Linked DNA regions of Schizosaccharomyces pombe. The protein of the gene in region 2 interacts with the protein of the main gene of each other region in a biochemical or structural test. Each region holds a gene or a part of one and is shown on either strand. Other genes may lie near its edges.

Region 1 (6,585 bases), on a different chromosome or scaffold from region 2:
TGTGCAACCAAACATATCCATCAACTCCCAAAGTCTTGCCAGAAAACTCCTCGACATGAGAGCTTTTCTGCATAGGCTTCAAAAGTCCCAAAAGACCTTTAATTCCCATGTTTAAAGCATTCGTCAAGCACCAAAAGAATGCAGGTGCGTTATCGAGATGTTGGTTCTGTAACAGTTTTAACGTAGTACCCTTGGAAGTGTGTTGTGTATCTGATCAACAAATATATTCTTGCAGTCGATAGGCCCAAAACGAACAAGTATAAAATTTACTTTATCATTAAGAAAGGATAAATATAAAAGGCTTTGTTATTGTTTATGTGTGAAATAATTTAAGGAGCCGGCTATCATTGTTTGAGTATGCTGGTGTACTTCTTTTCTAAACATCTATTCAATCGAAATCATTAAAATCATGATAATACTATAAGTAAGTTTTTTTCTTTAAAGTTCTTTGTTTGAAATCTATCGTGATTGTTAACTAAGACTACGGTGAATCAATCAACCATTACCAAATCATTGAATTTAGCTGTATGAGGAAAACTCAAGCGCAAAATTAATATTTTAAAGTTCTATAAGCTGCGGTTTTAAAAATGTAGTGCGGTTAGCATCTAGTTGGGTTTAAACATATTTTAAACTATTCGTCGCTAATAAAACGTTTATTCTTAAAAGTATTCTTGCTAGTTTGTGACTGCAAATACTGTTAAACTAAAAAGGAAAATGCAATAGTTAGTTTCCGGAGAAAGCCTTCTAGAATAGTAGAGACTTCTCAAAATTGTATGCAGCCAAATTCATTAGTTAACAAACAGTCAAGGGGTGAGCCGAATCGTCTAAGCGTAACTGCGTTACTGGAATTATATTGAAAACATTAACCTCACTTAAACCCAACTTCCTTGAAACTAGGGATTAAACATAAACGTAGCTGACAATTGTGACTTATAATTAATGTTTCTATCATTAGCCCAGTCAATTCAGAGACAAAATCAATTAAGGACATAAAGAAAAAGCGTTGTAAATTAAAAAAGTCCTTGATCAATTATAGAAGGAAACTTAAAACAATTAAAATTAAATTCGTTAGAAATAAATAAATTACGCAAATATATATTTGCCATCCCTATTAAACATAAAGTATTCTTAGAATATATTAACACAGACATTAAGCAGCATATCACAGGTTAATATTATCATTTACTCCACATAACCTTCCAACTGTTTTTCGTTAGTATTTTAAAATTAAGAAAAAGTAATCCCTTACGTTGATTGATAATGTTCGTGAAGAATTCTCCTGTTGATCTCTATAAATACCCACTAAAGCTTCTGATTTACTGAACAACTGATTTTTCAAGGAAATGACAACAAATTGAAAACCGCTGGATGCATGCTGTCTAATATAGTTGGCAATCTTGGTAACGTTGGTTTGATCCAAAGCTGCATCAATTTCATCCAATACAAAAAATGGGGATGGCTGATAAGAGTGGATAGCAAATAGCAGAGCCAAAGCAGCCATGGTCTTTTCTCCTCCAGAAAGTTGATCCATATCTCTAAATCTCTTCATAGGTGGCATTGCATGGAACTTGATTCCTCCAAGATATGGCTCATCGAGGTCATCCAAAGTCAAATACGCTGTTCCACCAAGAGGAAAAGCAGGACTTTTGGTAAGTTCCTTATATATTGGATCGATTTGTTCCGAGATATGCGAAAAGGCAGCTTGAAATTTTTGCAATCTCTTTTGCTTAACGGCATTGAAGCGTTCTTTTGCGTTTTTGGCTGCTTTACGAGCAGCAGCAAATTCTTCATCTAACTTCGCCAAGCGAGTTTCTACTGTTTCAAGTCTCTCAATAGCCCTTAAATTAGGAGACATCTGATCCAGCTCTTCCGAATACTCTCTCAATTTTTCTTGAAGAACAGAAGCCATACTCTCAGAACCGTCATTGCGTAACTCTTCATCCAGTTCATCGTAATCCACTTCTACTCCAAATTTCTCAAAATTTATTACTGGTTCAGACGGCTCTTCGCCCATGGTGATATCACCGCTGTTTGAGACATCATCTATAGGTATGCTCGTCAAAGATCCTTCGCGTAACGGAACATCTATATCTTCTAGTTTGCATTTTCGTAAAATTGCGTGCCATTCAGATACATAGCGGTCAATCTCCGATTCTAAAAGAGTAATGTTTCCTGATAACTTTGTTAACTCAGACACTAATCGTTTGCCCACTAGCTTTTTCTCGGATGCAGCTAATAAAATTTTTTCAGTTTTAGAGTTCTCACTTGCAAAATCCTCCTTTAATAATTCAAGCTCAGCCTCGGCAGTTGCAACTTCTGATTCAAGTGCTTCCCGATTTTGCTCGTAATTATCAATAGATTCCTGATCTTTTTCAATGAATTTATGCATACGCTCTAATCGTAACCTGGTATCTGAAACACGTTGTTTTTCAAAACTAATACGATTTTCAAGTAATGATTTTTGCTTGGTGAATTCGAGTTGTTTTTGTGTAAAACTTTGAGTAAAAGTGCGATGTATCTCATCGTAAGTATGTATATCACTTATCCCAATTCGTTTGCAAAACCCGGAGAATATCTTTTCCTCAACCTTTTCTACTTGAATTTGAAGCTCATCTCTACTTTTAACAAAGTTGCGAAGTTCCATTTCCAATTCTGACAAGTGAGGCTGTTTTTCTTTGATTAAAGATTCGTAATGTCCAATTTCCTTTTTTTTGTCTTCCACGGATCTAGAAACTACTGTATATTTGTCTTTGAGTAGAGATATCTCAGATTCAAGACTATGCAACTTGACAGTATCACTTTCTGTAATCACACAAGATGACTTTTGATATTCTATTTCACCAATTTGATGCATAAGTCTATCTTTTGTTTGAGTAAGCAGATCAAAATCATGGTCATCCCAGTGTTTCGCCGACCGGTTGTTTGAAGATCCACCAGTAATCAACCCTGTTTTATGTATAACCGTTCCCTCTAAAGTAACTGTCTTGGCATTGAGACGTTTGTTATAGGAAAGGTCTCGAGCAACAGTCATTGAATCACAAATGAGTGTATTTCCAACTGCACTAATCATTACACGTTCATATTCAGACTCAAAATTCAAAACGTCAATTGCAAGTCGGGCGCCTTTGTGTGTTCCACGAAATTTTTGATTAACGGGACTGGCTGCTATGGTGTCCATTGGAAAAAAGGTCATAATACCTATGCGTTGCTCTTTTATATAGTCAATACACTCTTTAGCAACTGCCTGCGTTTCGACGACAATTGCGTCAAAATTTTTGCCTAAAGCAGCAGCGATTGCGCTTTCATATTTCTTTTGAGTAGGAGTACATAAGTCAATGATTCTTCCTTTGACTTCAGGATATATCCTTTTCAAAGCATACAATGCTTCTCTTTTTTTAGCATCCTGTTTGGATTCATTGCGGTCGGCACTTGCCTCTAAAATTTTCTGTAAACAAGATTGAAGCTCTTCATTTAATTCTTGTGTTTTATGAAAAAGCTCAGAATAAGTCAACCTCTTCTTCTGCTGATCATGCTTTTCAAGTTCCAAACTTTCAATCTTTTCATTTATTTTAGCAAGCAAATCCGCTCGCTCGGTATCAAGAGAAGAAACACTTTCATGAAGGCTTTTAATCTTCGACTCTAAGTCTCCAACGATGCTCGTTAATGAATCCTTTGATTGAGAAGTAACTTTAATATTCCTATTTAACGTCTGCAATTTGAACAATAGATTTGAGTTTAATTTGTCCGCCTCACTTCGAAGTCCTTCATACTCCTCTTTATCCTCTGGTAACAATCGCAACCCTTTGAGTTGCTCTTTTTCCTGCATGTCTTTTAAAAACTCTTTTTCAGCAGCTGAGAGTGAAGTCAATTGATTTTCTAATACTTGTAACGTACTAGCTTGGTCAGAATAATCTTTTTCTATTTCCGCAGCTTTTCTTTGAATTTTTCGGAGATTTGACTTAGACTCTAGGGCTTTCTCGGCAATTGAAATGAGCTCTGGACGTTTCGAAGCAATCAACTTTTCTTGTTTTCGAACTTTTCTATCGAATGCAAGAAGGTTTCTTCGTATACTGCCCTCTTTTTCTTTCAACTTTTCTATCTCTTTAGTGTTCTCATCTCGCCTTTCGATAAGTTGAATGGAATCTGCCTTTAATCGAGTAACCTCTGCCATATTAGAACTAATACTTTTCTCTAGATGAAAGAGTTTCCATAAAAGGTAAACTAACTGCGCAGAGTCTCGTTTTTCTTTTTGACTTTGATAACGCTCGGCTTCAGTTTTCTGTTCTTGATATTGGCGTAACTCAGCGTTGATACCACGTTTCTTGTTAAACGAATGAGCAGATAAATTTACAGCCTTGTCCTGCTCGTCTTTAGATTTATCGTACTCAGATTTATATTCCAGAGAGCCACTTATTTGTTCAACAAGCTTTGAAAGTTCTAAAGGAGATTGCGAAGCAATGGTTTCAACATCACCTTGAAAAACTAAGAAATTTCGAGCTCGAACAAGAATATTCTCCTTTTGGAGAGATCCGCAGTATTCAGAAAACGTAACTATTTCTTCATCAATTTTGTATTCAGTAGCACCAGAAGGAGTGATTGCGCGTTTATACTCTCTTTGCTCCCCATTATCCAACTCATACATAAGTTTCACATATGCTGTAGTAGGATTACTAGAATCAGTGAAATCTGTATTATCTCTTTGCAGTATTTTCCCCCGATAGATCAGTTCTTTAACATTAGTTGATCGTAAATGAGAAGACTTGACCCCTAAAACAAAAGAAATGGCATCCATTAAATTCGATTTTCCGGCTCCATTAGGACCGATAATCGAGGTAAAGTCCTCAAAAGGACCTATAATTTGATGTCCTCGATAAGACTTAAAGTTTTCAACTTCCAGTCTTAGTAAACGTCCCATTAGGAAAACTTGGTAAAAGGAATGTACAAGGTGTGTATGAAACTCGCGTACGCGTCTTTACTTGATTAGATATTGTTACCTACTCATTACGATTACATCTCATAAAGTTTCAGAAATCCACGATATAATATATAGTGCAACTTGATATTCACTGTAACAAGAACCTCGTTATTATGATATTATCCTTCCAGCGAATTACTATTCTAAGCTGCATAGCCCCTGCCTATATATGTACGATGCATCGTTATTGAAAGAAGTTTGCTGCATATAAATAGGAAGAAAATTGATGATAACAACATCCGTTTGTTTCATTATTAATGAATTTGTGGTACTCCAATCACCAGTTAAAAAATATGGCAAATAATTTCAAAGAAAATTCTCGTCAACTGATATTAACTCAATCATAATATAGATGAGCCATAAAATATTAACATTAATATCGTAATGCAATGTAGCAGTAATATTATATAATCGTAGTCAGGTAAAATATATAACAAATCACCATATTAACCCATTCGCAAAAAACTTTGATGTTTAAGCTACTCAGATCAATCAGTACATATCTTGTTAGAACTAAGGAATTAAATTATTCAATTATATAAGCGTTAAGATGGATGAATAATAGATTGGTGAGACAGATTTGGGATAGTGATGTATATAATAGAATATTAACATATAATTTACGAACTCTCCTTTATCCTCTTTATTCGATCAGAGCGTCCGTTAAAACAACTTACGCACGGTTTTTAGCCTCCCTTAGGCTTGTTATTGATATTCGCAGCATTGTCTATGAATAGTGAAAGTGTTGATTCAGATGTCGCGGCCTCTACTAGTAATAAGGGAAATGAGTTATGTAGCTCTTCCACTGACATTACGTCTTTATCAGTGAGTTCCCCGAATGAATCGGTTATTCATTCCAGTCACTCTGCAAGTGAAGCTGATGAGTACGTTTGCAAATTAAGTTATGAGGGTAATAGAAAGAAAAGAATTTATAATGGCTCTGCTGAAGCGGGTAAAGAAAAGAAGCTTCAAAAACAGCGGGCCCAAGAGGAAAGGATTCGACAAAAAGAAGCAGAGCGTTTAAAACGTGAAAAGGAACGTCAACAACGAGAGCAAGAGAAAAAGCTAAGAGAACAGGAAAAAATCGCCGCTAAGAAAATGAAAGAATTAGAGAAATTAGAGAAGGAGCGGATTCGATTGCAGGAACAACAAAGGCGGAAGGAGGAGAGGGATCAAAAGCTTCGTGAGAAAGAAGAAGCACAGCGCCTTCGTCAAGAACAAATCCTTAATAAGGAAAGACAACAATTGAAGTTAAACAACTTTTTCACCAAAGGAGTTGAGAAACGAATCGCGCCAAACGAAAATTTTGTAGCTGACAAAACGGATGAACTGAATGAGTTTGAGAAAGAGTTTCGCCCTTTTTTTATAAAGCATCAGATGTCCCTTTCCAAATATCCATCTCCGAACGAATCTGATTCTTTTTTGGATGAAGTCCTCTCAACCTCTAAATCTTATCCTTTAAAGCTAAACGACATTTTTACACCATCAGATGCTGTAAGCTCCGCAAACAGTTTAGGTGTTAGTAATAGAAATTCCGAAAACGAGGTTCGACAATTAATGAGCGCATATCAAGATCCATCTGTTTCAAAACCTCAAGAAATTTTATCTTG
Region 2 (6,459 bases):
ACCGTCAGGAGAAGTACAAACATTAGTAACACCAAAATCGCGTTTTGAAGTAGTTAATTCGGGAGTAGTAGCAGCAGGTAAAGGTCGGACGGTATGTACAGTTCGTAAATCCCATAACTTTAAGGCCGAGTTTGCAGAGCAGGACGATATAACTTGCGAAGTAGATTGAGGGAGCCACGTAGCTGAGGTAATTGAGCAATCCCTTCCCGAATTTTCATGTGCTTTTCTTATCCTTAACACTGGTTTCTGAAAATGCTCACCGTCAATTGTTATCCCGTGTGTTCGCATATCCCAAAAGATAATGGAACCATCCCGAGAACAACTTACCAAATTATAAGGAGAATCATTGCAAAAATTAACCTGCTTTACTGAATGAGAGTGGTATCCATCGACACCTCGTCGTCCCAATCGAGTGATGCATTGTTGCGTTGACAAATCAAATACCTTTGATGTTTGATCGCCAGATGAAGTAGCTAATAATGAATCATCTTTAGAGAAATTAACACTAAATATAGCATTGTTGTGAGCAAGCCAGCCATGGATTCTTCGAGCAGACGGCTGATTTTCCTCATTCTGTCTATCGTAAAATCGAGAATCAAACAGCTCAAGAGCTCCAGTCTCAGTACATACGGCCAATAAAGACTCGTTATTAGCAAATCCAAGACAGAACGGGAGTTGGTTCAGCATCATTAAGCATTCCGAAGGTCGTGAGTAATATGTTTCGAGATTGAGTCTACCTCCCACATGACGAGAAGTTTTTGTGCTAAAAGGGTGCGACCGGGAACCTCCCAGTTGTCTGATTAAAAGTTCTTTACAAAGTTGAGCAGGTTTTTTTTGAATATGAACTGGCTTGTGTAACAGGGGTTTCTTTTCAAACACAATGCGTTTTCGAGGTGTTTCAATTTTTCCTCGGCTTTCTAGGAAGTCGTAAAGCTTATGTTTTTTGGAAGGTGCTGCGGGAGAAGAATCAGGAGTCGGAGGTAATGAGTTATTTGCACGTGAGGTAATATCTCGAAGCCCACCAACATCACTCAAAGCTTTTCCAATGTCCATATTCATGGTATAATCATGAATCTTAATTTAATCCGCTTTTGAGGTCGTGTGTTCCAGTTTAATTTAAGTAGTGGATGGTAGCGTGAGTATATTAGATTTTCGTGACGCGTGAACGCGACGCGTCCGTGATCCATCACATGCACCAAACGTTACCCAGAATATGTTAAAGTAACAAAACGCGTATTTCAAAGTCATGTTTAAGCATATTTGCAATTACAGATGGGTACAGCCTAAAATTCTTGAGGAATAAATAAAAAGGATAAAAGTTTTCTAATTACTTGTTAATTTTTCATAAAGGATGACTTTCGTATTTCTGCCTATGATATAATGAGCGCTCGAAAAGTTGTCAAATATCTCATTTATTAATAATAATCGAAAATATTACGCGTCAAAAGAATCTTTCACTCACAATTCTATACTTGTATAGTCAAATTACAATCTCAACTCGCGGAGTGAATATAAGTTAGCTGTTCACCTTGCAGGACCCAAAAGAAAATAGTATATATTTGTTTCAATCAAGGTAAAGAAAATTTTAATGTAATAACTTCGTTAAGTATAAATTTCCTTTCGTATCCTTGGATTTTCAAACACATTTATCCTGTCTAACACTATTGAACAAGACAAGTTCGTGCTTTTATCAACTACAGGTTGTGAACAACCTCCATTGTACAACACCAATAGTGCATTCATTACACTCTTTCCAATATTTCTAATTACACCTCTTAATTTATTTATAAATTATTTCTTTTTTTCTTCAAATGAGTGAGTCTGTTACTACTGGATCTGATGATGATGGAGGAGACAGAGAATCTTCCCCTGTAATGCTTTCTCAAAGTTTTGATCCCATGAGCAGTAGTTCAAATTCATCTTCTGAAGAAAATAGCGATGATGATTACGAGAAAACGATAAGCTCAAAAAAACGGCATCCACGGCCAAATTCTAAAGGAGTAAATGTAAAACGCTCTAGGAGGAACGCTATAGTTGAAGAGGATCCTCAAGAAGAAATTTTTAACAACTTATTTGGTAATGATAAAGTCCTTCTTTTTTTCAGCTACTAACACTGAAAAGCTTTTCTGCTTGACCAAAAAGTTGATACCATGGACATCGCGGTTTCGTGGTTTGCTGACTATGCAAAAGATAATCAATCTGCCCTTGCAAATCTTATTAACTTTATTTTAAAGGTAGAGTCATTCTTTTCTTTCTTTACTAAATATTTTAGTGCTGTGGTTGCAATCGTGCCATTAATGTGTTTGATGTTCAGGATCAAGATTCTGCTTCAGCTACTCTATCTCAAATTCAACTTTCTGTAGAGCGTGTAAGTGCTTTTGCGAAAATACTTTATTTGTATATTAACAACTTTAAGACTTCTACTCGTGATTATCCTTTAAATTCAAAAAATCTTAAGTTTAGGAATTTCAGAAAGAGATTGACCGGTCTTTTAAGCAACTTTGTGTCACAGTTGTCAATAAGAAATTACTTGTACAATAGCACTGTTTTTGAAGATATTATGTCTTGGGTCGTTGCCATGTCTTCTTCTACGATGAGACCTATTCGGCACACCGCCACTGTTTTCTGTTTGAATATTATGACTTTTTTATGTGAAAAATCTAAAGAACTATTGAACGAGCATGCAATTGCTACCAAACAGCTCGAGAAAGAAGAAAAGCGCTCTCGTGTAAATAGAAATCGCATCAACGAACTTAATAACAGTCTTGGTGAAATAGTCAAGCAACAAGATACATTGACTACATACTTAAATGACTACTTTGATAGGTAAAGATCCCTCAAACGCTTTAATTTATTTATACTAACCTTTATATTAGTGTCTTCGTCCATCGATATCGAGACGTGGAGCCTAAAATAAGGGTAGATTGCTTACAAGAGCTTGGGGTCTGGATTAATACTGTTCCAAGCATATTTTTTTCAGGAAGTTATTTAAGATACCTAGGATGGATGCTTTCAGACATAAACACTACCGTCAGATTAACTGTAGTTAAAGTTTTGCGCAAATTTTTTGAGACAGATTCATTTATTGGTGGATTAAGACATTTTTCTTCTAGATTTAAAGAAAGAATACTCGAGATGAGTTGTGTGGACGCCGATATTGGAGTTCGTGTAGCCAGCATTCGTTTGTGTAACGCTATGAGGACTTGCGGATTTTTAGAAAATTCTGAAATTTTAAAAGTGCTGAAGCTAATTTTAGATATCAATCCAAGGGTGCAACGTGAAGCCGTACTGTTTTTATGCAAAGTGGTTGACGAAAGTGTGAATGAAAAAATTGATTTATGGGGTGAAGAAGACTATATTCTAAAGGCCTTTTCTCAGACTTCACTTACTACATTTTCAGTTCATTGGATAAAATTTTCCCAAATGTGTAAACTTTTGGAGGAGGTTAGATTGTCTTACCAATCGAGCTTTGATTATGATACATTATTACGAATCTTCCAAAAAAATGGTAATTTCATTACTCCTATAACACAAGCTTTACTTAATGCATGTGAAATTGATTCAATCTATCAGTCATGGGAGGATATTAGCAACTTCGTACTTTTTGATAATTATACCTCGACTCTAAAAGATCCGATAGACAGTATACTTTCTTTCTGCAAGCTAAATGATTTTCAGGAATCTATTCTTTTACAGCTTCTCTCTGCTTCAATCCAAACTGTCTGTAATAACAATTTTATCACACCTAAAACGGTGCATAATAAGCAAGCGGCGGAAACGACCAACGATCAAAATAAAGATAAGGACTTACTTTATTTGAATCTTCTTCCTTACATTAATTCAATAACTGAGAGAAATTCTGCTTCACCAACACTTCTTCATGATTCTCTTCGTTTGTTATTCTCAATGGATTTGACAGAAATGACAGACCCTCAACTTTCCAGACATTTTGAACTTCTAATTAATAATTTAAAAAAATTTTTCCTAACCAATAATGATCTTCAAATTATTCAAGGTTGCACGATATTATTTTTACGGTTGGACTCTATTCCTGCTTTGAAAGAAGATTTGAAGCTTCTGGTTACTGACATTTGCGACCAGACGGTAACCGAATTTTTAAAGAATTTTGGATCTTTTAATATTCAAGATGCTGTAATAACAAAAGATGAATTTGTTATTTTTGAAGCTTGTTTAACAAGAATCGAGGGATGTACCTCTCTCAAAGATTTTTCTGACTATCCTGAGTTTGACATAATATATGAAAGGCTTGTTTCGCTTCTTTCGCGGGTTCCTAATAGCTATGAAGATACATTGAAGTTTTCTGCAATTAATACTTTACAGAGTCTATTGTTTTGGTTCTTTCTAAGGAAGGATAACCCTGCTGATGAGGAAAAAAAGAAGGATGATGAGACTAAAGTTTTTAATTGTTTGATTAATATTATGAATAATGACAGCTCTAAAATTTTGCAACTTCAGGTATACAAAATCAACTTATTATTTGATTTAAGAAACTAACTTGACCAGGCAGCCCGAACTTTTCTGGAAACAGTGATAATGAAAGAAGGTGTTAAAGCATCACATTACAACGATGACAATCGTGTATCTGAGGAGCATAACTTTTTAAAACCTCAATTTTTAGATGCTCTTTTAAAAATACTTGAGGGATGGTTATACACATATGCCAAAGTTGGTCAATTCCCCTTCAAGCGTTTGACTCAAGCAAGTTCTCCACATACACAAATTTCTTTGGACAAAAATCCACTTAATAGAAGGCTATTGGAACATGTATGTTGCGATTTGACTAGTAAATTATTAATAGTTGTTTCATTGTCAAATACGATAACACCAGAATTTTCACAACAGTTTTGTGAACTAAGAGGGCACTATGGACCGAAATTATCTGCTATTGTGGATGAGTTTTTGAATTAATTAAATTTAGATTTAATGCCTGCTGTATATTTAAAGTAATTAATTATTTTTAAGTCAGCATTAGAAATAAATTCTTTTTTCATTATTAAAAAGATTATTTCCGCTTGGTTTTCATTAATTCTCTATATTTCTCTATAAGTTCCAAACGCTGCTTTCCTAGAGCTTGGCGTCGTGCCATAGATTCTGTTTGACCCATATTATTAACTTTGGGAACATTTTCCAAGTACTTTGTCTCTTTAATTTTTAATTCCGGAAGTTCAGGAGGAGCTTGCACAGTTTCTCCAAAGGAAGGTTTTGTTTGTAAATTAGCCCACGGATCAGGCGAATTTTTTCGTTTTTTTCTAGACTCAATTTGGATAAATTGTCTAATATGTTAGTTTATACGAAATGAAATTGGTGATATACACATACCCAGTAGTATCCGCCTCCCATGTTTTATCTTCAAAATTTTCCTCAATTTCATTCCAGTCTCTTTCACGCTTCTCTTTTCTTTTCGCTATTTTTTTCTTTTCTTTTTTATCAGTAAATTCGTCTATTTTGCTCGGCCCAGACTTAAAAGATACTGGAATAGCCTTATTTACGCGCTGACTAAATTCACTAAGGCGTTCACCGGGTAATCTTTGAATTTTCCCATAATCTTTTTTTTTCTTATTTTTAAGGTTGCCTTTCTTTATTTCCTTCTTTTTAGATTCATGGTACTCTTTTTGCTGTAGCAATCGCTTGAATTGCTTTGGGAAGTTGTCATCTACACTTTCATCCTCCTTGGGAGCATGATCGAGTCTATTAACCAAATGTTAGTAAAAACATCTTGCTATAGAAATTTTTTACCCAATCTTTTTCCGTTCAGCCTCAAGAACGGACCTTTTCTTAGTCTTAGTAGGCATATTGCGCTTGGATAGTAAACACAAACGAGAAGCAAGTAATAAAGGAAAATAGCGAGCCTAGCTCGTATCGCAATTTAGATAAATTTGGATTTGTTTTAATAGATACTCATGGGATAACAGTAAAGTTTATTAATGAATACAAATATCTTTTTTTATTTTAGTGGACAAGCTGTAACGCTTTAGAGAGAAAAAATTTCAGAATCAAGTTGGAAGCAAGCTTAGTGAAGATACTTTTCGAATCATACACGAAAAATATATTAAAAAATATATATATCAAACACCAAATATACACTATCTTTATTAAAATCGTAATGCTCTTATATGTAAACACTCAACTATCTTTCTTGTTGAGTATTTTGCGAGCTAATTAATAAAAATTAAAATGACTACAAACAGAGTACTTGAAATTATATAGAAAGCGAAACAGTACAAAATTACAATAACAAAATAAAAAATTCGATAACAATCTGCTTCCATAAGAATCAAATTTTATTCTCGATTAAAAGAAAACTGTTCCCAAAATCCAAAAGTTTAGATGAGCAATTTCTCTATTGCCAATTTAATAGCTTGAATTTGAGGAAGTAAATCACTAGCCTCATTGGTAGTAATGCTGGCTGAAATCACCGGTCTACTTACACCACAAGCA

The links.
Region 1: the proteins of psc3 (region 2) and psm1 form a complex in vitro, tested with the Schizosaccharomyces pombe proteins (one study listed by BioGRID).

What each region holds. Positions count from the first base shown.
Region 1 is NC_003423.3:2,539,073-2,545,657, reverse strand, and holds psm1 (mitotic/meiotic cohesin complex ATPase subunit Psm1/Smc1), read right to left. Parts: upstream 4,943-6,585; 5' UTR 4,916-4,942; coding exon 1,250-4,915; exon of another isoform or gene 1,204-1,249; coding exon 1,183-1,203; 3' UTR 501-1,182; downstream 1-500. Other genes in the region: exonuclease I Exo1, read right to left, coding at 1-109; histone H3-H4 chaperone, CAF assembly factor (CAF-1) complex subunit A Pcf1, read left to right, coding at 5,705-6,585. UniProt on the Schizosaccharomyces pombe protein: Involved in chromosome cohesion during cell cycle and in DNA repair. Central component of cohesin complex. The cohesin complex is required for the cohesion of sister chromatids after DNA replication.
Region 2 is NC_003424.3:2,034,592-2,041,050, forward strand, and holds psc3 (mitotic cohesin complex non-SMC subunit Psc3), read left to right. Parts: upstream 1-1,703; 5' UTR 1,704-1,811; coding exon 1,812-2,076; intron 2,077-2,121; coding exon 2,122-2,234; intron 2,235-2,272; coding exon 2,273-2,368; intron 2,369-2,416; coding exon 2,417-2,826; intron 2,827-2,876; coding exon 2,877-4,476; intron 4,477-4,524; coding exon 4,525-4,929; 3' UTR 4,930-5,023; coding exon of another isoform or gene 5,024-5,294; 3' UTR 5,295-5,340; coding exon of another isoform or gene 5,341-5,709; 3' UTR 5,710-5,757; coding exon of another isoform or gene 5,758-5,813; 3' UTR 5,814-5,953; downstream 5,954-6,459. Other genes in the region: WD repeat protein Cdt2, read right to left, coding at 1-1,059; SPOM_SPAC607.02C (uncharacterized protein), read right to left, coding at 5,024-5,294, 5,341-5,709, 5,758-5,813; U3 snoRNP-associated protein Snu13, read right to left, coding at 6,345-6,459.